4 linked regions of the Oreochromis niloticus genome follow. The protein of the gene in region 1 interacts with the protein of each later gene in a pairwise test. Links are inferred from orthologs where the notes say so. Each region holds a gene or a part of one and is shown in the gene's direction. Other genes may lie near its edges.

Evidence for each region.
Region 2: the proteins of golga2 (region 1) and prpf31 interact in binary tests that used the Homo sapiens proteins (3 or more experiments, as listed by UniProt). The two-hybrid records come from large-scale screens. The link is inferred for Oreochromis niloticus from reciprocal best matches to the Homo sapiens genes GOLGA2 and PRPF31.
Region 3: the proteins of golga2 (region 1) and arl16 interact in binary tests that used the Homo sapiens proteins (3 or more experiments, as listed by UniProt). The two-hybrid records come from large-scale screens. The link is inferred for Oreochromis niloticus from reciprocal best matches to the Homo sapiens genes GOLGA2 and ARL16.
Region 4: the proteins of golga2 (region 1) and lmo4b interact in binary tests that used the Homo sapiens proteins (3 or more experiments, as listed by UniProt). The two-hybrid records come from large-scale screens. The link is inferred for Oreochromis niloticus from reciprocal best matches to the Homo sapiens genes GOLGA2 and LMO4.

The regions. Positions count from the first base shown.
Region 1 is NC_031972.2:20,385,427-20,393,220, forward strand, and holds the start of golga2 (golgin subfamily A member 2), read left to right. Parts: upstream 1-4,774; 5' UTR 4,775-4,857; coding exon 4,858-4,905; intron 4,906-6,100; coding exon 6,101-6,235; intron 6,236-7,794. Other genes in the region: endoplasmic reticulum chaperone BiP, read right to left, coding at 1-197, 296-686, 790-902, 993-1,130, 1,233-1,464, 1,550-1,668. UniProt on the Homo sapiens protein: Peripheral membrane component of the cis-Golgi stack that acts as a membrane skeleton that maintains the structure of the Golgi apparatus, and as a vesicle thether that facilitates vesicle fusion to the Golgi membrane.
Region 2 is NC_031976.2:22,012,208-22,019,646, reverse strand, and holds the start of prpf31 (U4/U6 small nuclear ribonucleoprotein Prp31), read left to right. Parts: upstream 1-4,434; 5' UTR 4,435-4,613; intron 4,614-5,739; 5' UTR 5,740-5,757; coding exon 5,758-5,970; intron 5,971-6,064; coding exon 6,065-6,125; intron 6,126-6,275; coding exon 6,276-6,359; intron 6,360-6,463; coding exon 6,464-6,561; intron 6,562-6,784; coding exon 6,785-6,891; intron 6,892-7,439. Other genes in the region: uncharacterized protein lmtk3, read left to right, coding at 1,843-1,970. UniProt on the Homo sapiens protein: Involved in pre-mRNA splicing as component of the spliceosome. Required for the assembly of the U4/U5/U6 tri-snRNP complex, one of the building blocks of the spliceosome.
Region 3 is NC_031969.2:22,590,642-22,598,209, forward strand, and holds arl16 (ADP-ribosylation factor-like protein 16), read left to right. Parts: upstream 1-4,547; 5' UTR 4,548-4,659; coding exon 4,660-4,735; intron 4,736-6,041; exon of another isoform or gene 6,042-6,052; coding exon 6,053-6,108; intron 6,109-6,188; coding exon 6,189-6,305; intron 6,306-6,407; coding exon 6,408-6,523; intron 6,524-6,680; coding exon 6,681-6,846; 3' UTR 6,847-6,872; intron 6,873-7,005; 3' UTR 7,006-7,451; downstream 7,452-7,568. Other genes in the region: fn3krp (ketosamine-3-kinase), read right to left, coding at 2,284-2,622, 2,725-2,847, 3,013-3,095, 3,570-3,661, 3,796-3,947, 4,189-4,329. UniProt on the Homo sapiens protein: May suppress the RNA sensing activity of RIGI in a GTP-dependent.
Region 4 is NC_031986.2:31,964,656-31,971,866, reverse strand, and holds the start of lmo4b (LIM domain transcription factor LMO4b), read left to right. Parts: upstream 1-4,198; 5' UTR 4,199-4,656; intron 4,657-6,012; 5' UTR 6,013-6,017; coding exon 6,018-6,253; intron 6,254-7,211. UniProt on the Homo sapiens protein: Transcription cofactor. Plays a role in establishing motor neuron identity, in concert with MNX1, acting, at least in part, to disrupt LDB1-LHX3 complexes thereby negatively modulating interneuron genes in motor neurons.

The DNA.
Region 1 (7,794 bases):
GCTCCGTATGCCACAGCCTCATCAGGGTTGATGCCTCTAGATGGCTCTTTGCCATTGAAGAACTCCTTCACCAGCTGCTGGATTTTGGGGATACGGGTGGAGCCTCCAACCAGGACAATCTCATCAATGTCAGACTTCTTCAAGTCAGAATCTTCCAGCACCTTCTGTACAGGCTTCATGGTGGAACGGAACAGGTCCTGGGTTTTGAAGAACACACAGGTTAAAAAACCTTGGTCAACCATTTCTCCAATTGGGTTTAATACGCAATATTTTCAGAACCAAATTAATATCTTACCATGTTCAGTTCCTCAAACTTGGCACGAGTCAGGGTCTCAGAGAAGTCCTCTCCCTCAAAGAAAGACTCGATCTCAATGCGGGCTTGGTGCTGGGCAGACAGCGCCCTCTTGGCCTTCTCGACCTCACGACGCAGCTTCTGCACAGCACGGTTGTCTTTGCGCACATCTTTGCCAGTCTTCTTCTTGTACAGCTTGATGAAGTGCTCCATGACACGCTGGTCAAAGTCCTCACCTCCCAGATGAGTGTCACCGTTGGTGGCCACCACTTCGAACACACCGTTGTCAATGGTCAGAAGAGAGACATCAAAGGTGCCACCGCCCAGATCGAACACAAGAATGTTCTTCTCTCCGTCCTTCTTGTCCAGGCCATAAGCAATAGCAGCAGCAGTTCTAAAGAATACAATGAGAGTTTATTGTTAGAAGGGAGGGCAGAGATATTTTTTTGACAGTTTCAAATTGCAGATGATCAAATTCATTTTGACTGGATGCTTACGGCTCATTGATGATTCGCATAACATTCAGACCAGCAATGGTACCAGCATCCTTAGTGGCCTGGCGCTGGGCATCATTAAAGTAGGCGGGGACAGTGACCACAGCATGTGTGACCTGAGGAAAAAGGATAAAGTTAGATTTGATGATACACCATTTAATTAAGATTAGCTTTTTCACTGATTTACAATCTCTGACTTTTTGTACCTTCTTGCCCAGGTAAGCCTCAGCAGTCTCCTTCATCTTAGTTAGCACCATAGCAGAGACCTCCTCAGGAGCAAAGGTCTTCATCTGGCCACCACCAATGTCAACCTGGATATGGGGCTTGCTCTTCTTCTCAGTAACCTTCATAGGAATACACACCAATATTAATTTAACAAGAATTTCACTCAAACATGACCCAAAGAATCAACTACTACAAGTTTTACTTTCAGTTTAGAAGCTCACCTTGAAGGGCAGGTACTTGATGTCCTGCTGCACAGAAGGATCACCCCAAGTGCGACCAATGAGCCTCTTGGCATCAAAGATGGTGTTCTCAGGGTTAGAGGTCAGCTGATTCTTGGCAGCATCACCAATCAGACGCTCACCTTCACTGGTGAAGGCCACATAGGAGGGGGTGATTCGGTTTCCCTGGTCATTGGCAATAATCTCCACGCGTCCATTCTTGAACACTCCAACACTGCAAGAAAACAGTTTGAATTTAGTCTGAATGCCATTTTATTCCATGGTGGTATCATGTCACTATAAGAGCTTGACGTGATTACCATGAGTATGTGGTCCCCAGATCAATCCCAACCACAGTCCCCACGTTGTCCTTCTTGTCTTCATCGTCGGCGGCAAACACTGTGCCGACCACCAGCATCACAACCCAGAACAGCTTCATCTTTGTTTGTACTTATATCTACAAGCGGATCTGCAGAAAAGAAATACAATGTAACACATTAGATGGGTTCAGCCTCCCAAGTGCGCTAGCCAGAAACTAACGGTACTGCGTAATGTCACTTGCTGAGCTTGCAGACCCATGGCAGACTAAAAGTTGGTCTTGGCGAATAAATATAACAGGAAAATATGAATTATCGATAAAATAAGTTGGATCACCAGTCAATCACCGTCATGACCACCACCACCCCCCCGCCAATTCGCCGGTATCTTGCTAACTACGCTACCATGCCTAGCAGACATGCAGGGGGAAACCACCATGCTAGAACATTCCAAACTACATCCTGTTTATTATATTTAGGTTACAGAGTCTGTACAGTTCATTCAGACGACAGTAGTGTAGTTACATTTCAGCTGGTTTATTGGTCAATATTGACCTTAACCGGTTTTACCTTAATAAAACATTTTGCAGAAAATGGAAAATACCGCGATGCTTCATTATCATATTCATATTAACGTTTATACATACCTTAACAGAAGTTCAACCAATGAATTAACGGCCTTTGAGTTTCCTCTACCGGTAAAAGACGCTTGGAGCAACCTGTATATCTTTTGTCTCTTTCAAATCCTTACTTGTGTAGAATGATGCTGTACGAAATGTGGTCTCTCCATATATAAGCCGTCACTTCTTTCCCGTCGTGGAGGCTCGCGATTGGCTGAGCTGTTGCTCGTTGGAACACGCTGATTGGTTTCATTCAGCACGCTGGCCGCCGCTGATTTGCACACATCAGGTTGAAGAGACGTCACCGTATGTGTCCACTGCGCCGACGCTGATTGGCTGTCTGTCAAGGGCAATCCTGAACACAGTTGGTGCAGCGACATGCCACTCTCAATGCCGGGGGAGAGGTGGATGCATTTCTCGCATTTCATACATTTACAGATTTTTGCTGCAATAATTTTTTTTTGCAATGGCCCACCAAGTGTTTGATTTGTAATCTTAATTTTGCGGTTTTAAGGCGTGTCATTACGAGGAGATAGTGATGCAATTGTGAGACGTAATGACTAACTGCTATGAGTATGAAAATCCAAATCCTTTGTGTGATTGTGATGAATCTGACAGGAAATCTTGTACCAGGTGAACTGGGTTGTCTGGGTGTTTCCTCAGTGAATGTACAAGTCTTAGCTAAAGACTACAGATACATGTGATCACACTGATTTCAGTTTGGTTGAAATCTTTTGCACACATAAGAAGGTAACATAAACTGGCACATTCAGTTGGGTTTCAGTTCAATCAACAAGACAAATATTTGCTTAAAAAGTCAAGGTAGCTGACTGCCATTGTCAAGATATGATCCTTGGCAAATGTGCCAATATATACCAGCCAAAGTACAAGGCTATGATATGGGTATTTTAAAAACACTAACTAATTGCAAGAATTTTCTAAAATCCAAAATCATTACATGGATAGAATTGAACTGATCTGCTTTCTCCTACTGTGATTTATCTGAATTCTTCTATTAACACTGATATATTTCCAGAAGGTTCCTGAACTAAACCGGTTGTACTGTCAGGAAGAATATAGAAAAGTCATAAAATTATAAAATATCAGTGTAGCAGTTAAGTTTTGTCTATTTCTTTTATTTATTTATTTACATAGTTTCCCATAAAAACCATAAACATTTCTATGTCTAGATTTGGAAACCTCTTACTTAGTGGCCTCCAATTCTGATTACGTTTTATGGGAGAATAACAAGTGAACATCAGATTTCAGTGTTTCATCTTTTTCTTTATTGTCTTAAAGTAATGCAAAGTATTTTATTATTATTTTATTTTGAAGCCCTTTTCAGACTTTGCAGGGATTTCTACAGAAAATTTTATTATTCTATTCAAAGGATACCCTCATTTTAAAGCTAATGCTGATGAATTGAAAAGCATATTGTTACGGAGAAGCCTCCAGTTCCTGTTAGTAGAATTCCTTATATTTTATTCAAGAAAATCTAAAAGATGCGTTTATATTGTTTATAAGGTCCTTCTAATGTTACTGTCAGGCAGTTTACTATTTGTGTCATTTATATCTGCTTTCTTTGTGTTACAAACAAAAGCAAAACTAACCTGTAAACTTGAAAGACAATGATGACTCATTAAGACTAAAACCACACAGGGCAGTGAAACAAACCTGATGGAAAATTCTGGGTTTAATGTGTCATTTTCTTTGTATACAATTGAACTTTTTACTTGGACTTTTAAATCTAGTAAAAAGAGTTGGATATCATAGTTAACACTAGGAGGAGCCATGTTGCTAAATCAAGGAGGAAGTGATCAGTAAGGCCTTCATACAGGTTATTACAATGTAAGGACTACTAGCATTGGTTTCGCCTTGTGTTTGTTGTATGGAAACCCCTTTCTGATATGCTTTCTATTAATATGAATTAATAGATTGACATTTTGTAGAGTTTTTTTTTTCTCATATTTTTTTATAAAATGTTTGAATGTCCCTTAAGGAGCCTGGAGAATTATTCTTGAAGAGTATGACAAGAAGAGGAAGGAAGAGTATGACTTGAAGAGGAATGACAAGAAATCTGCCTCAGAGCGTTCTGACTGTGTGAAAGAATAAAGGTGGTCATTCCAAAGAGACTTCCAAGCTTGTTTGTACAGAATTGTTAGAATTTCCCTTATATACCTTATTTTCTTTTGTGTAAGGGAGGATCAAGATTTTTTCCACAGTACTACACTTCATTACACCTGTGGTAAATTTACATATTACAAAAAGAAAGTGAAAAAAGTCATTTTTTAAAACATAAAATAAGACAGTACTGTACGGTACATTTCTGTGTAATAAATGTAACCTACAAAATAATAGGCTATATTTATCTTAATTATAGAGAAACACAAAGGTAAAGTAGCAACAACTACAGACAATGAAAGCAGCCGACAACCACATAGCAAAGGTGTTAATACATTTTTTCCTAAACTCTGTCGAAAATAATACTTTATATATTTCATATAACAAAAGAAAGAAAACATGGTTCAGGCTAATTTATGTGAGGTTGTAAGCTCACGGCCATAGACGGTATAAAGATGTTTTATGCTATGTCGAGGGCACAGCTTGAGCTCTGCGCCACCTACTGGCTTAGACGCGTATGAGCGCCAAGCTGATGACGTGGTTCGCTCAGTTGACCACCAGAGCAGCAGGATGGCCGACCAGAGTAGGCAAATAAAACTCGCTGCAGCTAAGAAAAAGGTAAAGTATTTTACAAGTAACGCAGTTACATAGCGCGAAAAGTGTAGTTCCCACTTTATGTACACAAGTCTGTGTTAACTCTGTTTTCTTGTCTTTTCGTTATGTATATTTTTTACGGGGCAAGGGTGTTGTCATTACACGTCGCCCGAGTTCTGCACTGTCGCTTGTCCGACCTCCTCCGCTCCTCTCGCGGCTCTGTTGCGTAGGAGAGACCGATGTTTCATCGGGGCCTCTGCTGATAGCATTAACTTTCCCAGATTATGTAGACTATTTTTAGTTAGTAGAGACACGCATACTATCCCACGCTGTTTATGTACTCGCAGATTAACTTGCACCACTTGCTTGGCCGCTTTACTTGACTTTCCAGCTGACATTTAAATGTAGTTAAAGCCTAACGTGCTAACCCAGGCAAGTTAACGTTAGCAAGCTAGCTAACTAGCTGATGAATATATGGCTACGTGTGTGTCTAAGGAATGTCGCACAGCAGCCTGCCAGCTTTTTGTGTTATCTGCAGAATTTAATTTCATAAGAAAATGTCTAACAAACGGTAGTTTTAAAACACAGCACTCATTGAGCTTGTAAGCTACCCCTGTAGCACAGTTAGCTGGATGGACTGACGGGGGGTGTTTTGACAGCTGACACCCCTCTTCCCTGTCCTGCTGTGTGCTTTGGCTTGGTGTCTTTTTCGGCTAGTCAGAAAGATGGCCTTATCAGATTCAAGAAGTGACTCGCCAGCATTTTTTGCTGGCCCACAAGCTTCACGACTGAGTGGTCGTGGTGACATGTCATTTTGCTGCTATTTAGCTTTACTGTTAAAAAAAAAAAAAGCCCCAGCAGTTCCCCTTAGACAGCTGTTAGAGCGTTCTGGTATGCTTTAACCGTCATATGCATATCATACGCAGGTTATCATTGTTTAGCACAACTTACTAACTTCATCCGTTTGAAGCCGGATCTTTCTGCTAGCTGGTGCATTGTTTTGGAATTGGAGCACTGAATTCGAATTTTATTACCTCATTCATTCAGCTTGTTAAGACGCTCGAGATGTTGAGTGTAATTTGTTTGAAATAATATCTATAGTTTGGGACAGTTGCAGAGTCCTGGTACTATATGTGTAAGACGTGACAAATAAATATATATTAGTAGACATTGTTCATGTGCACACGTTTATGGGTTTCTTCTCTCATTTCCTACTCAGCTGAAGGAATTTCAACAGAAGAGCTCCCCTGCTAGTGTAGGAGGAGAAAAAGGAGGAGCAGCCAAGAAGAAGAGAAAGGTGAAGGGATCCAGCCAACTTGATGCACCTTCACCAGACAGAAACTCTCCAGACAATGTAAGCATAACAGTTTGCCTTATTGTTGTTGTTGTTGTTGTCGTCAAATGACATCCTCTTTTTGTGCTTGGTAGATGGTCATTTCATGATTTGTTCTCTCAAGTTGAAGGGTGTTGTATTTGTGTGTTTGGCTGAAGAACATATATGTGTGTGTGTGTGTATACATATATATATATATATATATATATATATGAGATAGATAGATAGAATACTTTTTTTCTTTTTTTTTTTGCCAATTATTATCTACAGCAGAGTAGAAGTATTTACACCTCTTTGGGGCGCTGATGACAGACATGTTTACCTAAGAAGGGCGTTGCACATGAGACAGTGTTTTTTAAGCCCCTGACCACAACTGTGGCTTTTACATATTGCAATATGTAGCATAAGGTAAGAATTTCAAGAACTAATATATAATTTCATGAGATGGTATAAATAACAGTCCAGATGAGTTTATAATAGTAATATAATGTAGTTCGGTTGACTTGAATATACATAGGATTGTCCACTTAGCCCACTACAGCGTCAGCATTGTCTCCTTCATTTTGAAAGAATGCCGTCCTGTATTATATTTCCATGTTGACTAAGACTGTTGTGATGATTCCTTGATGTCATTCAGTGTCTTAGGTTGTGGATATATAGCAGTCCTTGTTCTGTTGCACAAATGAGCAGCATTCCAACTAGAACCTGGAGCAGTCTGTGCATGATGAACTGGCTGACTACTATCACCAGCTGCAGTCCAAGCTGCTGGAGTCGCAGCCAGTTTGACTAGATAGACAGCTGAATATAGTCTGTCATTTGTCTCAAAACACTTACTATTTCCAGTACCTTCAATACCACAATATATATGCTGATGTTTAATAATTTATCCAAAAAAGCACTGGTGTAGCAACTTATGTGCATATCAAAAACTCACTTTCCTCTACCCCTGTCAGTTGCTGCCGCAGAAACACTATAATGAACACGTTATGTCATCTGATTGTTTCAGCACTCAGGTTCATCAGCTTTTTGTTATAGAACGTTTAATAGGAATAATCATAAAATTACATTGATTAAAAAATGATAGGCTTTCAAGTCTCCTCTCCCAAGAATCCCTCTGTGAATATCAGCTAGTTCTCTACTCTATGCTACTGCTTTAAGTTTATCCTGCACTTTAGTAGCACTCTTTATAGCTGATTAATAGTAATTAATTCCTGATCTTCAAAGCAGTGACTCATTAGTCAGATGTTCATCCATCAGTCCATTAATTTCTTCTGTATATTCGAAGTTGAGCTGAGGTGGCAGCTGGGTATTCAAATTTCCTATTTCTCTGTGATTTGTTTCTGATTTTCATTACTCACTTGTTTTTCACCACATTTGTACTTGTTTGAGTAGAAAACATAATAAATGTGCTAACAAGACCATTGCTTTAATATTTGTTCTGGTGATTTTAAAAAAAGTACTGGGACAAATTGTGTGCAGCAAGTAACACAATCACATTCTTTGAGCTCTCTTGACAGTCTAACAAGTTTTGGATTTTTTAAGAAAACATTTTTGGTATTTAATGTCATTTTGATTACTAA
Region 2 (7,439 bases), on another chromosome or scaffold:
TAAGCTGCTTTCAAAAAATGTTTATATTGTATTATCTGTACTGAAACAAAAACTCTAAACGACATAAAATAAAAGCGAATGAGAAAATACAAAACTAATAATAACTGATGCTGATGTTAGCTTTCAGTGCAGCGCTGCACCACACAGCTGTTACCATAACTGCTGGCTTGTTGGACTCTACGTACATCAGTGTCTGCTGCTTCTTACACAGGGATTCAGTTAGTCTCCTCCTTGAGCTGCCTAATGATGTAACAAAATGTGACAGCCGCTAGCACATTCCCAGCTAAAATGGAAAACCTCAGTTCAGCTCTCTCCGCTGCAAATATGGAGCCAGAGTTAATCTTCTATAATTATGCCCCGGGATGCTGTGACATGTTGAACTTAGCAGGGATGTTAATCCCGCACTCAACAATGCAAGCCCGAGTCATGTTTCCCTGCACATTTTCAGCTGCTCTCGCTACTTTCCACTCTCCATCTCATGCACTCAACACCCTTTTTCACAGACTAATGAAAGTTGGGGCTCAGAGTTTGCTTTCGAGCTGTGTCACATACAGAAAAGGCAAAATTAGATTCCTTAATGATCTTTCAAGCCTTTCAAGACTTCAAAGTTTTGAAAGAGGAATCCGTGTTACTTTTGAGTTATTTTAAACTAAGTCTGCGTCGCCTCAGTGTGGTTGTTGACTGATAATCTAGATCTATTAAGATCTAGATTATCAGCTGATTTTCTCCCCTGTGCTTGGTACTGGGGGTTTTTTCTTGTGCATCTTATAAGTGAGTAAACATGTGTCCCAGTCACAGATGGATCATCATTCTCCTATGAATAGATTGGTTGATCATCAAAATTCATAAGAAGACCTACTCCTCCTACAGTATCGGTCAGAATTTAATCAAAATTACACATTGATCACCTAATGGGCCTTCATCCAAACTGTGCTTCGGCTCAAGGTCACACTGGTAATTTTACAGGTACTTTTTCTCAGCATTACCTTCAAGCAGGTAATGCTCGCCCTGATGTACTGAATGATATTGATAATATCAGATTCTCAATGTTGATGCACAAAACGACCAAGAAAGAACTTCGTGGTAAATGGATTGGTACTTCTGGCACCTTCTACTCAATTCTGAGCACTCAAAGCGAGTCTCATTCAAACAGCCTGTTTATACCTTATACGTGCACACACTCACATCAATGCACTGGGGGCAACTCAGGGTTCAGTGTCTTGTCCAGGGATGCTTTGACACATGGCACAAGACGAGCCAGGGATTGGTCCTTGATTGGTAGACAACCAGCACCACCTCTTTAGAATAAACAAAGTGGTAGCTTGAAACATCGCTTTGTCACACATGCTTCATATCGCTGGTATCCTGTTAGATGATGATGATAATTATGATCTTATTCGTTGTGATGATGGAGGGAGTGGTCCTGTTGGAAGGGCCGGGCCTGCCTATTAACCATCATGCTGATATAACATGCTCAGTGCTATGACACACTGATCCTTTTATATATTTTCATTGCTTTTTATGGCAGAATTAGGTAGTTCTAGTCCTCCAAGTTTGACAGTTCTTTGACTTCTTAGTGGATTCTGATTTGTTTGTGCAATGCAGCCAACAAACGATTAGAAAACTTAATTGTTTCAGTTGTGATTGATTGTGAACCGGGTGAATGTTTTGGTTTAATTCCAATAAAAAGACTTTCCTTAAACTTCCCCTTACAGTCAAACACACGCTTATTGCCCGGGAACATCCTGTTCATTTGGGCTTCGGTATTTATGCCTGGTGCACTTGTTCTGGTTTTAACACCAGCACAGTCATGATGCTAATGTTGTTTTTTGTCTCTTTTAGGGCCAAAAAGCAAAGAATCGAAAAGGAAAGAGGATTTATCAGTCAAACCAAGGTCACCTGTCGGGGCAAATTCAGTGACTTCATCGCGCTTCACTGTCAGCCCGGCTGATGACCCACACCTGGTGTGATGTTGCACATCATCCTGGAAACACTTTAGAGCTCAACCCTCTCGGACTGGCCCGTGAATTAACCCAACAACCAGCCATTCGCCCAGAGGATATTTTTTTATTGAAGAGGCAACTGAAAGAAGAGACTTCGATTCTAAAAGCTGGAAACATTCCAGGTTTTACTAGTGACGGGATTTTGTACGACTGGGGGTTGCTGAGCTCCGGCCTGCCACTGTTTACAGAGTTTATTCATAGCCTTTGGCTGCAGAAATCTTTGGAAAAGGCAGCATATGCTAGGCGAAGAGGAGCCGGGAGCTTTGTAAAATCTGAAACAGATTCGACAGCTATGCAGTGGGAGTCTTGCTGTGTACCAGCTTACCTTCTCTTTTTCTGCTTTGTTCTGTTTTTCCCTGGGTGTGCAGGGAATGCACTTTCTTTAGTCATTCGTCTGTCTATGTAAACGCTTGGATCCCGGTCCTCTCTTTATTAAGGACATTTTTCATTGCAGTCAGTCAGTTGTTCTTGTAGGCAGCAGTTTGAAACAGAAATTGCTTGACTCCTGTATTTGACAATACTCCTCAGCATTTGTACAAACATCATAATACAAGTGTATACAGTATCATTTTAGAGCTGTTTACTTTTAGATGTATTCTTAGACTGCACGAAAAATGAAACAAGCAGTTTATTTTTACTTTTATTTCTGAAAAGCTTTAATTTCTATATTTATTTCTATGTTATTTTACTTAATTTATGTAAAGTCAGTTTCCATGCAATATCTTAATTATTTATTTAATCTATTAAGTTATGTATTTATTTGCTTTGGTGCAATTGCATATATGAACTTAGCTATAATTTGTTTGGGACAGAAATGCATCTAGGTCTATAACTTCTCCAAGATCTTCATAACAAATAAATCAAAATATTTTCCCAAACGTCTTAATTGCTAAACAAAAAAAAAAGTATTTTGTATAATTTTACTTGTTAATATATGCCAATATGTATGGAACAACGTCCTGTAATGTTTCATTATTTTCCGATGTCTATGAATTTTTAGCTGTCTCGTCATTCTTTTATCTTAATTAATGACAGTTAATGTAGCTTAGCATGAAAAATCGAAGCCTTTCATTAGTAAATAACTCCCATTTGTTTGTGTATCTGTTAATTTATTCCATTTTCTACTAATAACAGTCCATCATGCAGTCGAGATCCAACTAGTCAATTTGTTTAGTCTGTTTAAATGTTGGTTTAAACTTGTATTGTTTAAAGAATGGTTTTCAGGGGGCAATGTATAAACAAGGGGGAAATAAAAACTATGAAATGTGAACCTCTTATTTGAACTGCGTCATATAAATAAGCTCGATTGTTACTTTTACTTCATTCATGACCAAGAAAAGCTGCACTTATATCCAGATACATGTTTGTCAATGAGGGCTAAGTTGCAAACTATTGACATACTAGAAATTTTACTCAGAGACGTATGGGCTGTAAGAGCAAGTTATATATTATAAATCAATTAATGCTTCAGAAGGCACTGACATCACAGACACAGTTAGTGAAAATGAGATGGATTGCTCCAGCTGTCTGTGCTGGGAAAACCTGTCAGCCAGCAAAGCCATGACCCCAACTCCATAATCTAGGTAGATACAATATAAAAATGTCACCTCCCAGCACAGGTGAGGCTGGGAAACATGGAAGCGTTTTTTCTGCTACTGATTATCATTATTAATATTTTTATGTATATTTTTGATGTCCTTAAATCAACATTTTGGGTTAGGTATTTTGAAATTTTGACTTAGTAACTCTAAATTAAGGTTAGTGTTGTGAGACTAAGTCATTATGCTAACATTTTTTTCCTAGCTTCCACTAAATTATCCCTAGGGTGTAAAAGGGGAGGTGGAGGTGTGTGTGAGGATACTTTAATTAAAATTATACTTATGAAAAACATGAAAAAAAAAAACAACTTTAAGTGGTTCATTTTAAATTTGCAGTTACACCCAAAAGCATATTGTAATAAATAAATATAACTCACCATTAGTATTCACCAGTACCTATTCGCCTTATTACACATATACATTCAGATCAACTTAGAGCATCGTATTTTGCATTCAAACAGATCTTAATCCATATTTTCACTGTACTGTACACCGAGTTTATGTATGTACTGTATATATTTCACAGATAGATAGATAGATAGATAGATAGATAATCAAACCTGTGTCAAAAAGCAAAACAAAAAACACCCTCTGTGATTTTTTTTTTTTTTTTTTTGTTAAACTTTATTTAACAAACAATGAGTATACAACATACGAACAGATGAAGTATACAAAACAACAGAACATGAACACACAAAGGCAGGGGTAAAAAGTTACAAGAATACACGCAAAAATTCACAGATATATATTGTTTTGAGAGCCTTTTTGTTGGTAGAGTCTGATATTGATTGTGCCTCTGTGATTGTGAAGTGTACTGACACAGTTTCCCACAAAGCTTTGCGAATGTACGTATTTAATCTGCGACCAGCGGTACATCGGCGCCGCACAACCGGATTGCAAACAGTCAAGAAAACAGAGGGACGAATCGTTTTTTATTTCTATTCAAAGCGACTGAAACCTGCATTGGACGTCTTTATTTTTTCTTAAACCAGTAGGACTCTGAAACTCTGAGGTATGTCAAAGTTACTGAGAAATCGCTCAGTAACGTCGGACCAACGTTCGCTAATGCTAGCTAGCTAACAATGTTAACTCCAAACACAGCCAGCGATAACCCAAAGATGGAAGCAGACTTAATACTTCACAGTTTTTATGTGGCGGTGATAGTGTGTGAGGGACTGAACACGGCCTCGATAGTATCTCAGACGAGTCTGAGAAGAGCTTCTTTGTCAGAAGAATATGTCACAAAAATATGTCTACAGATGAATTTCTCTTTCAGGCTTGAAAACACAGCGAGGTCCATAAGTTTTTGTATTGACACACTTTTTGCATTTGATTTGTATTTGTATTGTTTGATAAATGAGTAAAACTAGTATTAAGTATCTAGTGCTCAAATAATACTATTAAGGAAGGGGATATTAGAGACGTGCTTTTTTTTTTTTTTTTTTTTTTTAAAATAAGAATTTAAGAATAAGAATATTGTTTTAGTTGCTGGTTGTGCGTCTGTAGAGATTGCTTTATAAGCCCTCAGAAAACAGTCAAAAAAGGCCAAGCAGTTAGAACCCAAGGGATTTCATCAGATATGTAGGCTTTCCCAACACAGAGTTAAAACAAAAAAAAAAGTTACTGTACTTTTATGTGATCTAATGCTGAGATTATTGGTGTATGTTCTATAATTGAAGATACTTGGGAAACATTTTTGGAAATCTCCAAAGCGAGCATAAATAATTTTGTGAAACAGAATGCATTTGTATCACACTTCTCTGGTCTTGTAAACCACTTAAAGCTCTTTACACTAAAAGCCACATAAATCTGTTTATGCACACATTTATACAGAGGCTTATTGTATACACTTAGTTTATCCCACATGCTAGTGACACATCAGGAGGAGCTTTTTTGGGTTTGTTTTCATCCCAAATTTCACTTCAGTTCAATGTAAGTAAGGACTAGATGAGCCAGTGATCGCACTGCTGACCTTTTAAATATGGGATCCTCAAGTTATGTAACCAGATCATTAATAAAAAAATAAATAAATTCAGAGTTACATCAACAGCAGCAAATAAAGAACATATACCCCACCAAACTCAGTGACAACCTCATGTAGGCAAACTGATCCTAGTCAGCTTTGCTTGTCCTCACAGTTTTCCCATCGATTGCAGATGTCTCTGGCAGATGAGCTCCTGGCTGATCTGGAGGAGGCCGGAGATGAGGGAGAGGATGGGCTGTACCCAGAAGAAGAGAGGGACAGCGATGGAGAGCCGAACCAGGGAAGTGCAGACGGAGGGCTGGAAGACATCCCAGAGGAGATGGAGGTGGACTACAGTAAAGCTGAGAGCGTCGCGTCTATTGCAAAGCTTCGCAATAGCAAACAGGTGAGTTGTATCATACAAGAGCTTTACACATGTTGAGATTAGCAGTAAAATGTCTGCTCTGTTCTTCCCAGAGTGACTCTTGTGTGTTTTGCAGTTTTCAGAGATAATGGACAAAATTTCTGAATATATTGGAAAGCAGCGTAAGAACTCAGAGGGTGAGTGTTGTTATTATTATTTAAGGCTCTTCTCACTATCAGTTTCCATTCATTTCTCTGTTTTACTCTGTAAACACATTTAATTTGAACTTAATGGTAACCCAGAGTAGTCATGGAGTTGTTATTATTATTTTTTTTGTTTGCTTTTAGTCTCAGGCCCAGTCGAGGCTGACCCAGAATACAGACTGATCGTCGCAGCTAATAACCTCACAGTGGAGATCGACAACGAGCTCAGTGAGTTGGCTTCTTCTCTCTGGTGATCCATAATGCTATGTTTTGAGATTTAGTTCTCTTCCTTATAACCTGAGATGTCCTCTGTGTTTCTGATTTGTTTCTAGATATCATCCACAAGTTTACCAGGGACAAATACTCCAAGAGGTTTCCAGAGCTGGAGTCTCTGGTGCCGGATTCTTTGGATTACATCCGTACTGTCAAGGTGAGCTGAACTATGTATTCATCTTTGACCCCCCCCCCCAAAAAAGAAGCTCAGAGTTGACTGTTTCTGTTTTTTAGTTAGAATTAGGATTTCTATTTTTAACAAAACTGACATGATTAAAGAGTTTAAAACTGCACCTGTTAAAAACATTGTTTCCTGTAGTTTGTTTGAACATGATGTTTTCTCCCCTAATTTTTCTTCTTTTTTTGTGGTTTGTATCTAGGAGCTGGGAAACAATCTGGAGAAATGCAAAAACAATGAAACGCTGCAGCAAATCCTTACCAATGCCACCATTATGGTTGTCAGTGTCACAGCCTCAACCACACAGGGGTAAGTTAAAGGTCCCGTCTCACCAGAAGAGTTTCATGTAGTTCACTGTGACAACTTCCTGCTAGAATCACCTTAAATCACTCACTGGAAATGAAAAACTATGGGGTTGCTAATGCTGGGGGGCTGGAGCCTATCCCAGCTTAATGGGGAGAGGCAGGGTACACCCAGCACAGGTCACAGGGCTAACACACAGATGGGCAACCATTCACATTCATGGTCATGTTCACACTCATATACCTACCTGTTGTCAATTTAAAACCACAACCATGAATGCATGCTTTTGGACTGTGGGAGGAAGCCTAAAGAGAACCCTTTATGTGCTGCATACAATTAAAATTATTATCATCATGTCTTATTTTTACAACTGGATAAAAGCCAAGTACTGCCAATTTTGGAATATTAATTGTAAAATCTGAATAAGTCTTAAACACAAACTAAACACAGACTTCTTCTTTGAGTCTCATAAACACCATAACTTTTATACCTCATTTTGAAGTGATTTATATTTGAAAAGTTGCAAAATTAAAACTTCCTTCAGTCTTAAAAAA
Region 3 (7,568 bases), on another chromosome or scaffold:
ATAATAACCACTGCAGCCAAGAAGAGTGCCTGACGAGCCCATTTGTAAGTAAATGGTAAATGGCCTGTATTTATATAGCACTTTACTAGTCCCTAAGGACCCCAAAGCGCTTTACATATCCAGACATCCACCCATTCACACACACATTCACACACTGGTGATGGCAAGCTACATAGTAGCCACAGCCGGACGATCTGATTTCCTCGTGTTGGCGTTGTTCCCACATCATCATAATAAATGTTGTTCCAGGTTCAACATTGCAAGTGACCAATCACCTTCTTGTGACGTCATACTTCTGCGACTTATGATATAAAACAAACAGGGGCTAAAAGAGGCTATGGTATGTCTCTGGCAACTTTAACACGATGTCCCAGGACAAATTTGTAAATTTCTGGATTACTGTTAATCTCCATAGAATCAAGAACTCATGTCCAGTTTCACGGCTATGGACCAGTTAATTATGTTTCCAGGTGATAGTTTGATTCATAGATTCAGCACACAACCATTAGTCTAGGCCTTTTAGTTCAAATTCTCTTCACTTATGTTTGTAAAATGATCAGGGAAGCTACTGCAATTTTGCCTGACATTGTTATGACAGCTATATTCACCTGTACATTTATTATATATCATAATATATTGACGGGAGAGCTATATTCACCTGTACTTTCATAATAAATCATAATACATTGACACGCAATTCTCTGTCTGGAGAACACTGGTTCGCAAGTAGCCTATCACTAGCAAACAAACAGCTATCCATTTCAAGGAAAACATATCGAACCGGCAACCTTCCGATTACAAGGCGAACTCCCAACTCTTGAGCCACGATCGCCCCACAGTAAGTAAGCTGTGGGGCGTAAGCTAGTAAGCTATTAAGTAAGCTATTAAGTAAGCTATTAAGACTCAATTGTACACTGTGTTCGTGTTTTCCTCCGGAAAAAATAAGTTCCGTTGGAGCAGCCTTTCAACGCCTCTCTCTGTCTCTGGCAAGCAAAGTTGACCCAGACAACAAAGTAAAGCTATTTTTCGGCTACCAGCCCGACACGGAACCCACTGTATTAGCCCGAGGTCCCTTTACTACTGTTCGGAGCCGCGGACCTTCAGTAACAGTAATAAATCACAGCAATAGTACATTCACGTAGTTGTAAACAGCATGATAATATATTAAGTAATCCAAAGTATTCAGAATACGTTACTCTCATTGAGTAACGTAACGGAATACGTTACAGCAGGGGTGGGCAATTCCAGGCCCCGAGGGCTGGTGTCCCTGCAGGTTTTACACGTGTCCTTGAACCAACACAGCTGATTTAAATGGCTAAATTAGCTCCTCAACATGTCCTGATGTTCTTCAGAGGCCTGGTAATGAACTAATCATGTGATTCAGGTGTGTTGACCCAAGGTGAGATCTAAAACCTGCAGGGACACCGGCCCTCGGGGCCTGGAATTGCCCACCCCTGCGTTACAGAATACATTTTGGGCCATGTATTCAGTATTCTGTAATGGAATACATTTTAAAAGTAACCTTCCCAACACTGCTAAACAGTTATTTGGGCTGCTGTGAAGCTGATCTAATGATGAAACATTTCCATCCAAATGGGAGTGTTTTTCTTTTCCATGCCTCCATTCACAGGGTGTAAAGGTTTTCACACTAGATAAATAACAAATTCAGCAGGTCTGGATAAACACAGTGGATTCACTTAGGATTTAATACTGGTTATACCATGCACAACAAGGGCTTGCAATGACTCATTGTTATACAGTGATATTTTGTAGGTGTAGTTAGTATGCCAACCTTTATTCCATTCGTAGCCATTCTACTATAATGTAGATAAAATATAAAACATTGCATCCATAGTGAAAGTCAGATTCTAGTTTGTTCTACCTGCTTATAAAGGATTCCTAAATATTAACATAAATAAATAAAAAACATTCATTTTTAAGTTGAATCATGGGTGTGTTGTACAGTCTTCTGATTTGCAAGTTTTGTTTAATGTATGTCTGTACACAAACTACACTTAATTCACTGTAACACCTTGTGCAAAATACAGAATTTATTTGCGGATTCTGTTATAAATATTAGGAAGCCGGACAGTGTCAGATGAGCTGGCAGGATGCAACAGTTTTTGCTATGTTAGGTCAGCATTTTCTACACAGTACAGAAGACATTAAAGTGTTAGATGTGTTGTTTAGTGTCTTCACACACTGTTTTTGGTCAAATAAGCAAAATCGCATAATACTTCAATTTAAGACTGCAATGCTTTCTAAGAGTGGCTGTGAGTGTGTTTATTTCAGCAGGGTCTTCATAACTCTTATGGAAGAACCTTTGTAACCACCACCAAAGTGGTTCCAGTGATTCAGGTAGTGGAAGAGTTGGTAAAGCTGGTTCCTCTTTGCAAATCCTGGTGCTTGGGGAATCTTGCTGTGGTATGCAGAGTAAAAAGCGCTGTTGAAGCCACCAAACATCCCAGCAATACCCAACTCAAACTCAGAGTGCCCATAGAAGGAAGCAGGATCGAAGATGACTGGGCCGTCTGCACACTCTGCCACGTTTCCTCCCCATAAATCTCCATGTAGGAGAGCGGGGACTATCTCCACATCTTTGAAGAACTGGGGGATCTTCAGCTGGAAATAAGAGACACAACATGCACATTACAATGCTGAAACAATCATAATGTCTTGTGCAAAATATGTTTAATTTCAAACAGAATCAAAGGGAGGTTGCACCTGTAACTCAGCCCATAGTTCTCTGGTCTCCCTGTCTCCATACGATTTCTCCACCACGTTAAGCTGGTGCTGTAGCCTCTGCTGGGTGTAGAATGCCACCCAATCACTCTGCCATTGATTGTCCTGGAGAGGTAAGAAAGAGAAGAAACTGTGATGCTGCTGAAATTCACTTTAACATCTTGAAGATTTGGAGACCAAACATTTGTAACACAACTTAGAGACATCAATACTGTACACCTTCCCCTAGAATGCAGACACAGTATATCGACACGTATACATTGGCTTTACCTGTGGCAGATATCCACAGCATGTAGTTACATGGAAGCCAAATTTTTCAACAGCAGCCACATCTGACTGACCCGCTCCTTTTCCTGCATATATAGCCGCAATATTAATAAACAGTCATCACAAACGTTTTACCTAAAATATGACACAGTTCATTATTATTCATTGGTGTGTGTGTGTGTTCTTGTCTAGCTATCTTTGTGAGGACCGAAATCTGCATTCTACTATACTTGTGAGAACCAGCAGTCACTTGTGAGGACACACAACCCGGTCCTCACATTTTTGAAGGCATTTAAAGCCATTTTTGAGGCTTAAAACGTGGTTTTAGTGTCAGGGTTACAATTAGGTTATGGTTAGGTTTAGGGTAAGGGTTAGGGTTAGGCATTCATTTTTAATGGTTAGGGTTAGGGTAAGGGGCTAGGGAAACCATTATGTCAATGAGGGTCCTCACTAAGATAGCTGAACGGGGTTGTGTGTGTGTGTGTGTGTGTGTGTGTGTGTGTGTGTGTGTGTGTATTATCCACATTGTGGCATCCTAAAATTAAGTTAAACTGAATTACCCACTGTCTGTTGCTCTTTATTTAATTTTTCCAGTTGTTTCTTGTTGTGAAGATGCAGATCTGCCATCTTCTCTCCTAGCTGTTTTGAGTACCTGCTCATTGCATTTAAAAATAAAGTATGTCATTGAAAAAATATTTTGCTCAGTGTTTCTAAAACTAAATTCATCTGCCCAAATTCTGCTTTAAACTGCACTAAAGAAAAAAATGTAGTCAAGAGCTCTCTTACTTGCTAAGACTGTTCATGTCCAGATGTTCCATCACAAATACAGAGCCTCCCGTGTCAAGCTCAATCACCTTTATGGGCTTGGGGACTTTCACGGTTTCTGTCTTTACAATAGCCTCCAAACTGGCCACTTCTCCATCAAACATCAGTTTGGCCTGGATAAATTAAAGACAGGACAACACGGTCTGGTAAACACAAGCTTCAGTAACTGTAAATATTTGCATCGTTCTCCACTCCACAACACCCGCACAAAGTCCACGGACAGTAGTGTGGTGCAGCTGCTGGATCATGTCCTATTCATTTAAGTCCCGAGTTGAGCACACGCCGAAAGCCGACCATGAACTAACTGAATGACACAACAGTTAAAGAAAATGAAAAACTAACAATGGCAGATACCTCACTCTTGTGATTTGTCTTTACAAACACTTTCCCAGTGTCAGTATGATAACTCTGTCCCTCGCTGATGCATCCACCTCCAGCATGACCAGCTGATTTCAGCATGGTTGTCCCCAACTCCTTCTTTAACTTAGCTTCCATGATTATTTATCATCAGTTCCAGGACAGTTACAGCAGGACTAAAACCAACTACGCATTGCAAATGCGGGTATGAAAGTCTTTCTGACAGTTTCCGTTGTGGCAGCCAACCAGGACTTTGTCCCGAAGCAGGATTTTGTTTTGCTTCCGGTATGTAAATAATGATAGAGTAGTAGCCAATCATAAACAAGTCTGGGTTGTTTATGATTGGATTGATTTCTACTTTGTCCAATAGTTGCGACGTCTGCCCGGTCACGTGAACGTCGCCATGGTGCCAAGTGAGGCTACAGCTATACGCTACGAGTTTAACTATGGTTCTGCAGAAAAACCGGCATGACCAGCAAAGAAATGTGTTTACTCCTCGGAGCGACCGGTGTTGGTAAGACGTTGTTGCTCAAACGTCTACAAAATATCCTTTGTGGCCATGTGAATTTCTTTGACGTAAAAGGAAATACTACCAAATAGCTTAATTAGCTAACTAATTTAGCCTATGAGCTTGTGTAGTACTTAAGTTGCTAAGTAATGGACGACCAGGGTCTGTATATCGCCTTTCCCAATTGCCAAATGTCGATACCCAGTGTTATTTTATTTTGCATCGGTATGTGTACAAATTCATCTTCATAATAAGACCTCTAAGAGAGATTATTATTACAATATAGAAGCTATGATAGCCCTTATTAGTTTGGAAATTCGCATTACTGCAGAAATTAGTGCTGTACTGTAATGTGAAATTGTCAATGGTCAGAAAGTGGATAATAACAATAATAATTATAATTATATAAAACAATAGGAAACATGTACAAGGTAGAAGTATAATTTAAATGTGTGTACATATATGGCGCAGTGATAAAATATAACATCTTTAGATGCCTAGAAGCAACAAAACAGAACCCCCAGATGATGCTAATAGGAGATGGAGTGTTGAAAACAGTTGCACACTGTTATTTATCAGTCCCTAATGTGTGCATGTGTAAATATACATGTGTTTTACTGCTGCGGCTCTGCTAGATGGAAAGACCTCCAATATTGCTCCTTTACACACCGTGGGTCCAGCAGCCTGACGCTTAAGAAGCTGCTCAGTGCTGTAAGAGTGTCCTGCATTGGGTGGGAGGTGTTTAGCTACAATGCTACCGGTCACTTACTACCTCCACTGGGTCAAGAGGGCATCACGTTGGCACTCTTGGTCTACCTGTTTCAATTCTTTTTGTCCCCAGTAGAGATACTGCTGCCCCAACAGACCAACACCATTACAGATGGCTGTTGGAACCACAGAGTCATAAAATGTCTTCAGGAGCTTCTCCTGCACTTCAAAAGTCCTTGGCATACTTACCAGATACAGCCTGCTAGCTATTTCTGTATTTTTCCAGTTGCTTTTATTCTAAAAATTATATTTCAGAGATTGAAAGGGAAGTGATCTGCAACAGCACAAGTTAAACACTATCCTCCAGTTGCCTAGATTACATGCATGGGGCCCATCGCATATAAACTTTGCCCAAATTGGTGGATTATTAATAAACTGTCATCTGAGCAGATGACATGATCTCATTTGTGAGGTGACAAGTGAACAGTAGTCTCTCAGCTGTGACATCACCAACCTTACTCATAACAAATATTCAAGTTCTACTTTCATAGCTCATAAAATATTGCATAAACATTTCAAAATGTTTTTCTTTAAAGCTGATAGCAATGCTGGCTCAAGTCAATTTTCCTATCAGATTTCATTTACAGTTTATCGTACATGGTTTAGATGAATTAGGGACACCACCTTCAACTCTTCCCACAGTAAGTACTAATGGACAGTTCAAATTCTCTGACACCTTATCCGTGTAATTTCTTCAATCTCCAGTCTTCATTCTTTGTAGGTAGGAACCAATCTGACAGACCTGACCGTGAAGAAGAAGAAGGTGACTGTGAGAGAGCTGGGAGGCTGCATGGGCCCTATATGGCCCAGTTACTTCAAAGACTGCTCCTCTGTCATTGTATGATCTTTGTATACATGCTGTTTATATTTGTAATATTCAATATGGGTTTTCTAAATTGAAGTGTTTGAGTAGATTTCTTTTGTTTACATTTCTCCATAGTTCATGGTGGATTCAGCCAACATTGCTCAGATATCCTCCTCCTGTATCCAGCTGCTGTCAGTACTCTCAGCTGAGCCTCTGAGCAAGGCCTCTGTGCTTATTCTCTTCAACAAGAGGTGACACTCCTAGAATACACATCAGTCTCTATTAGTGTTTTACTATATTGTACAAGATCTCTAGCAGGTTTAATGCAATTTGTATGTAATAAGGAAAGCTAATAATACCACTAGGAAATTTTTGATTTTCTTTTCCAATTTTAAATTTTTCCCCCAGGGACACGCCTTGCACTATGAGCCTTATAGAGATAAAGTCACTGTTCAGGATGGATGACATTGTTGCATCTGCGACTCAGCCAATCACAACACTGGAAGTCAGTGCCAGATCTGGAGAGGGACTTAAAGAGGTGATGAGCTGGCTGGAGTCCGTCACAGTCAAGTGACATACGCTTACTGACTACTTCATTAGGTACACATGTACAATTACTCTTTCATGCAAATATCTAATCAGCTAATAACATGGCAGCAACTGAATTAGTTTAAGCATTGAAACATGGTAAAGATGATCTGCTGAACCGAGTTCTCTGGCCTTGTTGTTGTAGATGGTCAGAGGAGAAGGAGACCAGAGGGGCTAAGAACAGGAAACAGGCTACAGTTTGCACAGGCTAACCAAAGTTAGACATCAAAGAATTGAAAAATGTTGCCTGGTCCAGTGAGTGTCAGTTTCTCCCGGGAATTTGGATGGTATTGTTACAATTTGGCATAAATAAAATGAAAGTATAGATCCACCCTCCCTTGTATCAGAGGATCAGGCTGGTAGCGGTGTAATGGTGTGCCAGATATTTTCTTGGTACCCTGCACCCAGCAGGATAACGCAGTATGTCACAAAGCTCCAGTCATGAACTTGACAATCAGTTCACTGTACTCAAATGGCCTCAAGAGTCACCAGATCTCAATCCAGTGGAGCACCTTCAAAGTCTGGTGCAAACTCACACCATGGTTGTGCACATGACAAATCTGCAGCAAGTGCATAAGACTGTCAAGTCAATATGGACCAAAATCCAAGGAATGTTTCCAGCACCTTGTTAAATAGAATTAAAACAGTTCTGAAGGAAAACTAGTGAGGTATACCTAATAAAGTGGCCAGTGACTGTGTGTGTGTGTG
Region 4 (7,211 bases), on another chromosome or scaffold:
TACAACTAACTCATTCACCCAATGCTTATCTAACATTCATACTCCAATGAATGGATTCATTCCACCCCATGAATGCAACATGGGGTTAGTATCTTGCCCAAGGATATTTGGCATTCAAACTGGGGAAGCCAGGAATCAAACCACTAACCTTCCAATCAGTGGATGACCTGCTCCACCACCTGAGCTACAGCCACCCCTACATATGACTGATGCATTATCCCCACTTCCTTTCACTTTACAAAAGAGAAGCTACACTGTTATGGAAATGAACACGTGTGCTGCCATTCTGCTCCTGTGACCAGATTCTGTGCAGTAGTGACTCGAGGGTGGAAAACACTGCCTGACTTTGAGTGGTCAGTAAGAATGCAAAATTGCCATATAAATCTTGGGCTATTTACTACTGAGTACCTCATACTTGGCCAAATGTGAGCACAGATGTGCTATGACATCCTCAGTTAAAGTTGAATTAAAAACGTTTGGTGTTTACTTACAAATAACCCATTTGTAAATTATTTTGGTACCAAAAATAAGTAAACATCAGAAACAAACAATACTATATTGTCTAGTATAGTCACATGAATATCATGCATGATTGTGCTATGATCTGCAAACTCTTCTTTAGCTTTGATTATGCCACATGTGCCAAACTCAAGACCATGGAGCCAAATTTGTCCCTTTGCAAAATGTTATCTAATCCATATATTATTTTAGATTCTTAATAAAATTTTAAGAAAAATTCATGATGAAAAATCTATTTCTTTTACTTATGAAGCTTAACTCATGTGTATGAGATACACCTGTTCAGCTGCTTGTTAATACAAATATATAATCTGCCAGTCACATGGCAGCAACAAATTGCATTTAGGCATTGTTAAGATGACCTGCTGAAGTTCAGAATCTGAGAGAATATGGAAAAATGGTGATTTAAGTGACTTGATGTAACATTGTTGTTGATGCCAGATGGGCTGGTCTGAGTATTTCAGAAAGTGCTGATCTGCTGGGATTTTCCCACATAACCATCTCTAGGGTTTATAGAGAATGGTCTGAGAAAATACGAGCAGCAGTTCACTGGGTGAAAATGCTGTGTTGATGCCAGAGGTCAGAGGACAACTACCAGACTTCTTTGAGCTGACAGGAAAGGAACAGTAAGTCAAAATCCACACACCGAACAACACATTGAACCTTGAAGCAGATGGCCTACAGCAGCAGAAGACCACACCTGGTGCAACTCCTATCAACTAAGAGCAGGAAATTGAGCCTACAATTCACATGGGCATTCTCAACATTGGATTTTAGAAGACTGGAAAAACGATGCCTAGTCAGATGAGCCTCGGTTTCTGTTGCCACTTTCAAGTGGTGGCGTCAGAATTTGGCATGAACAGCATGGAAGCACAGATCCATCCTGCCTTGTATCAACATTTCAGGCTGCCGGCGGTGGTGTGGGGAATATTTCTTGGAATACTAGTACCAGCTCAGCATCATTTAAACACCATAGTCTGTCTGAGTATTGCTGCTGACCATGTGCATTCCTTTATGACCACAGTGTACCCATTTTCTGATCGCAACATGTCACAAACCTCAGATCATTTCAAACTGGCTACTTGAACATTACAATGAGCTCATAATACTCACATGGTCTCCACAGTCACCAGATCTAAATCCAGTAGAGGTTCTTTGGGACGGTGTGCAGATTCCCATCATGGAAAGGCAAAGGAGCACTCTTGTGGCCTGGGTGAAGTATGTGGATCAAACTGTACATGAGAAGGCTATGCAGGGCACGCATTTTTGATCGAATTAAAGAATTTGAAGAAAATATATATATATTGCCCTTGATGAAATTGACTTTGACAGCCCTGGATTATATAATTATAATAACTTTAACATTTTGCAAACCTTTGCTATTTCCCCAGATGCACAAAGTTGTGTGTATTGGTGTGTTGTGTCTGATCCAGAAAAAAGCACTTTAGATGTTCAGGAAATTGGCATCAATCAGTTTATCACTTTCAGAAGCATCCTGAATCAACATGTTTTACAGAGAATGTGGACTTTAAGTGTTCCTTTAATGCCTCTTTAGGTAAGTAACCTTTTACTCATTTAGCAGATTTCACTCAGAGATCTTTGTGCCACGCTGTGTGCAGTCCTAGAGCAGCTTCTCTGTATCTGCAGATAATCTGAACTCTAATCTTCCCTGATCAGTTGGCTCAGCTAAACGAACATCATTCTCTTTTACAGACAACATATGCAGTAAAGCGAGGGCAACGTCGTATCGCAAATGGCGGACGAGGCCACATGTAGCTGCGCGATCTCAGAATGTGAGCCTGAGAGAAAGTTGGAGTGACCTGGAGGTTTTGTGTAAACTCTCAGGCTGAAACCGGCCTCTCTGCGGCTCAGTGTCACGTCAATACACGAGAACACAGAGCGAATCCCAGGCTGAAGTTAACCACCGTGCTCAATGCGGCTCTCCTGCTTTTTCCCACAGGACAAGCAGCTTCATTATGAAGCACCGTGGTCTCCTTTTCATCTCAGTGAGATCACCCCTGTGGGGAGTATCAACACTGTGAGCCACATCTGACGCTCTCTTGTCCCTGTTTAAACACTGAAATAGTGTTCAATCATATTGTTGTTGGCTGCTTTCTTCTTTTTTTTTGTCATAATGCAGCTGCTTGGAAACTGCCACAGGACTCAAAGATCTCAGCGGAGAAAGGAGGTGATCAATTTCTGAGGGAACCCCCACCTACCCAGCCACCCACTCTTCTCTCCCTCCTTGTCTCCCTGACCCCTCCACCTCCTCCTCACTTCAACTAGCCATAATTATTTTGCAAAAGAGCTCCAGAAAAAGAACACGCAGAGTAATTTCTCTTGCCCAGTTATGAAAAGCTCATTAAAAAAGGCCCGGAACAAACAAAGCTTTTCCTGTGAGGCCTCTTTTCAAATTCATTTCATAATTTTCCTCTGTTTTAATCATTTATATCAATTAATCATTCCTTGGTGGAAAAGACATTCTTTGCAATCTTCCGTGGGGTTTTTTTGTTCTGCTGAGTGAGAGGCTTGATGAGAATGTCAGGAGAATGTGGCTCAAACCAAGGCGGAGTAGCACTGGCTTTGCCAAAAGGGAAATCAGCTTGATGCAGCGCGATCTCTTCGGAGCTGCAGGAATAATTAAACAATTAAAGTCAAGAAAAAGATCATCTTTATACATCTGACGTCTTTCTAATGAAGCCAGGGGCATCTTATAAGAGAGCCGTTTTGTCATGTAAAACCACTCAGCCTGCTGAATCTCAAACAGGGAAACTTTTCTCCAATAGCAACTGTTTTTGGTTAAACTGAAGACGTCACTTGTTTGCAGCTTTTCTTTACAAGGAGAGCAGCCCCCCCGCCTCTCTGTCGTGGTGTCGCCACCATATACATTTCATTTTTATTAAAAAGCGTCACAGTTACCTTCAGTTGATGGGATCTCTGATGTGTCACGTGATGGTGGAAAAACTCAAACTGAAGGAATTAAAAGGATCTCAGCCAAATCAGGTCTTGCAGATTAGCCTTAATAGGTGTTGAAACCAATGACCCGAGGCTTAATGAGGTTGTAAACGACAGCAGGCCTCGCTGCGATTTTTTTCAGTGACAGACGATGGCGCCACTACGCAGCTATTAGGGGGGCTTGATATTTCCCAGAGGTTGGAGTCACCCTCGGTAAACTAAGTAGTTATTGAATGTCAACTAATTAAAGTCGGGCGTGAGATGAATGCAGCCTACAGGATGTTGCTATGCAGCTTTCAGTAGTCCTGACAATGGAGACAGTTTAATCTTTATATTATTACAATGCTTCATATCCAATCTCTCCATGTCCGAGTATTATGGACGTTTGGAAGAGATAATATATTTATCACGGTGATATTGAAGCTCCTTAAACAGGACACTGAGTTTATTCTACGGATTTTCTTTGGCGTATAAATCCGCTCTAATCTGGTCTCTGCCCCTGATTTGGCTTGTATACATTGGACTGCTGCGTGTCTCTTCTCTCCGGTCCATCTCACCTCCGTTTCCATCCTTCTCTGTCTGCGTGTCCGAGTCAGTCTCGCCTCCCTCTGATTGGCCAGAATTGTTATTCCTCCTAAATGGACCGCGCGCTGATTGGCTGCCGAGGCCCTTTCGTCACGCGGCTGAAGGGGCTTTTTTACTGGAGGTTTCTTCCTGTCAGCGACACATGTAGAACAAGCAGCTAACGGGACCCAGAGACCAGAGCAGAGGACAGTCAATTACAGCTTCTCTGCCTGCCTCCGTGTTTCTGTTTTTCCTCCCTCCCTCTTCTCCACGCACTTCCCCAGCTCTGTGGACTCAACGGCATGCGCAGACCTGTAATTACGGCTTGTGATGGACTCGTTTTTGTTCCAGCGAGAAAAAGAGCACTAAAAGCGGCAGCAGCAGTTAAACGGGAAGCATCCAGTGGAAATACTATCTGATAACTCCATTTGCTTGCTGAAGAGCCGAGCTCGAGGGTTTCGCTGCCGCGCGGAGCTGGAGGCCGACGACCGCGCTCGGTGGTGCGTCCGCTTTCTACCTGTACTTTTTTGGGGTACTGTTGTTGTAGCCTACCTGTTCGCCTACCTGCCATTCAAGCCATCAACTTTACAGCCATTACCCTGAAAGGAGACAAACGAGGTGGGTGTTTGCCGCTGGTACAGCTGTTCTGTGTGTTTGCGCTGTATATATATTTTTATATGTATATATGCTACCTGTAATTGTCCGTAGTTTTCAGAGTGGAAACAGTCGGTTTTGAGTCCTCCCGTGTCTATTTTAAGAATGCCTGCGCTCAGATGTGACAGCCGACATTACACTGGTCTTTTTTTTAAGCACTTAGCTTGTAGTAATTGAGATGTGAAGCTGCATTTCTTTTATTTTCTATTTCAAAAACAAAATCAGGCAGCAGGCAGCGGACAGAAGCTTTTAGCACATGGCTGTCTGATATGTTCCCCCCCCTCCGTCTCTCTCGCTCCCTCTTCTATTTCCATGACTTGGTCTCCAAATTGCTTGCCCGTGTAATTACTTGAGTTAGCCCATTTAAGTTAAAAGCCACCCCCCTCCTCTTCCCCTCCCCGTCCCCTCCATCCCTCAGCGGAAAAAAAGGAAACTCCTCTGAATGAAACTTGATGATGGCCCCGTCTTGTTTATCCGGGAGTCACTTTCAGGTCGGCTTTTTTGATTCATCTCCTTTTAGATTTAATCAGCACTAAGGTACGCTGTGGTTTGTCCCTAAGAGCCATCGCTAATGGGCTTACTGAATGCTTTTCTCTGTGCACCCCCCAGCCTCCCTCTTCCTAACTCTAATTAGCCTACCTGTCTTTCAACAAAGATTTGGCTTTATCCAGGCGAGGCTGCCTGACCAAATTGGAGAGGATTACATTTGAAAGAGCCCACATTAATTTGGTGGGTGAAACAAATGCCTGCATTTCAGTAGATTAGAACATTTAACATCATTACAGCGTGTGCACATCGCTGTATCAGGGCTGTGGTGTAGATGCGTGATCATATACTTGGCTGAGGTCAAAGGCTCATGCAGCATCACAACTAATGTGCCAAACATCAGCCTCTCTTTACTCGCTCCCTTGAGTTTTGCTGTGGACATCACCTCTTTGCATAGTGAGGAATTGTGCGCCATTTAGAAATTCTTAGGACAGCTCAACAAAGGCCCGTGCTGTGTAATTGTTCCTCTGGCCCCACAGTGTTATCAGTGAATAGACATTCATCACAAGAGGTCTGATGAAGCAACAGCGTAGAGATCAAGGGCAGATTAATTCACTAAGTGTCTTGTGGTTGTCTTGTAGCAGAGATCGGGCTTCGCAGCTGCAGATACAACAGTATGTTCAAACAGCTGATAACTGATCAGTTATGACAAATGTGTCAACTCATAGCTGTGTAAGTCCTGACCCTTGTGTGCACTTAAGCAGTCCTTAAGTGTAAAAGAAAAAAAAGAAGTCTGAACAGCAACCTGTCATGGTTTCTTCTGTGTGTTCTCAGGTACGATGGTGAATCCCGGAGGCAGCAGCCAGCCACCACCGGTGGGCACAGGTTCTCTGTCCTGGAAGCGGTGCGCCGGCTGCGGGGGCAAAATTGCGGACCGTTTCCTCCTTTACACCATGGACAGCTACTGGCACAGCCGATGCCTCAAGTGCTCCTGCTGCCAGGCCCAGCTGGGTGAGATCGGCACATCGTGCTACACAAAAAGTGGCATGATCCTCTGTAGAAACGACTACATCAGGTGAGGAAATCACCAGGTTGTGTGTTCAGTTTTCCGTATTTTGCTGTTGCAGCCTTACTGAGCAAGTCAGATCGTTTAAACATCTTGCATGAATTTAAAAGGAAAAACTGTGCTTCTCATAGCCCGTAGAACTTTTCTTCTGGATTATATTAAGCTGTGATATTAAATCAAGTTAAAAGCAGGACTAAGCTGATGTAGATCTGTCATGGTCATGCAACCGTCCGCAAAGTTTGGTGCATTTCTGCACGACATGTGTCTCAAATTGTACTAACGTCATCAGTGCTCATTAAGGCGTCCTGGTTGAAGGCTCTTTGGCCTGCCCTGAAAGACGCCAAACGTGGCGCCATGTTGACAGAGCACAAAGCAAAAGGAGAGAGCCTCTGCAGGTCATAACGCGGTCTGTCCTGTTTTACAGTCAACAAAAGAACAGAAAACTGGTCCTAAATGACTTGAGTTAGCTCTGCAAGAGACACAAACAGGATCTGTGTTCAGCGAAGGCTGTTTTATTCTAATTTTTTTAATACAGTGGAAAAAGGATCATTTAATTAGCAAAGAGAGCCTTTTTAAATATTCAAGTAGGTGTGCCAGACACCCAACCAGAGCTTGTTGATGACACTCATTCTGGTCATGTTGAGCAGTCTTAAGTGACGAGAGAAGGTGCAGTTTACTGAAAGTTCACATGCATCCTTGACTCACCCTCATGTGCTAGACTGGTATTGATTTTTAAGCCAATCAATTAGCCATTTGCTAAACTTGAGTTTCTATTCATGCAAGACAGTCAGAGATTCCGTTTTTATTGTTATATCATAGAAATGCATGCTCATATTCTAATGGATGGAACCGCACTCCAGTTAACATACAACGCTGCTATCAAATCTGCACGGATAATTCAAAATCTAAAGTGCGCCTGTGCGCTCTCACACCCACCTCATAAAAAGGATGGGGAAGTCAATGGGGT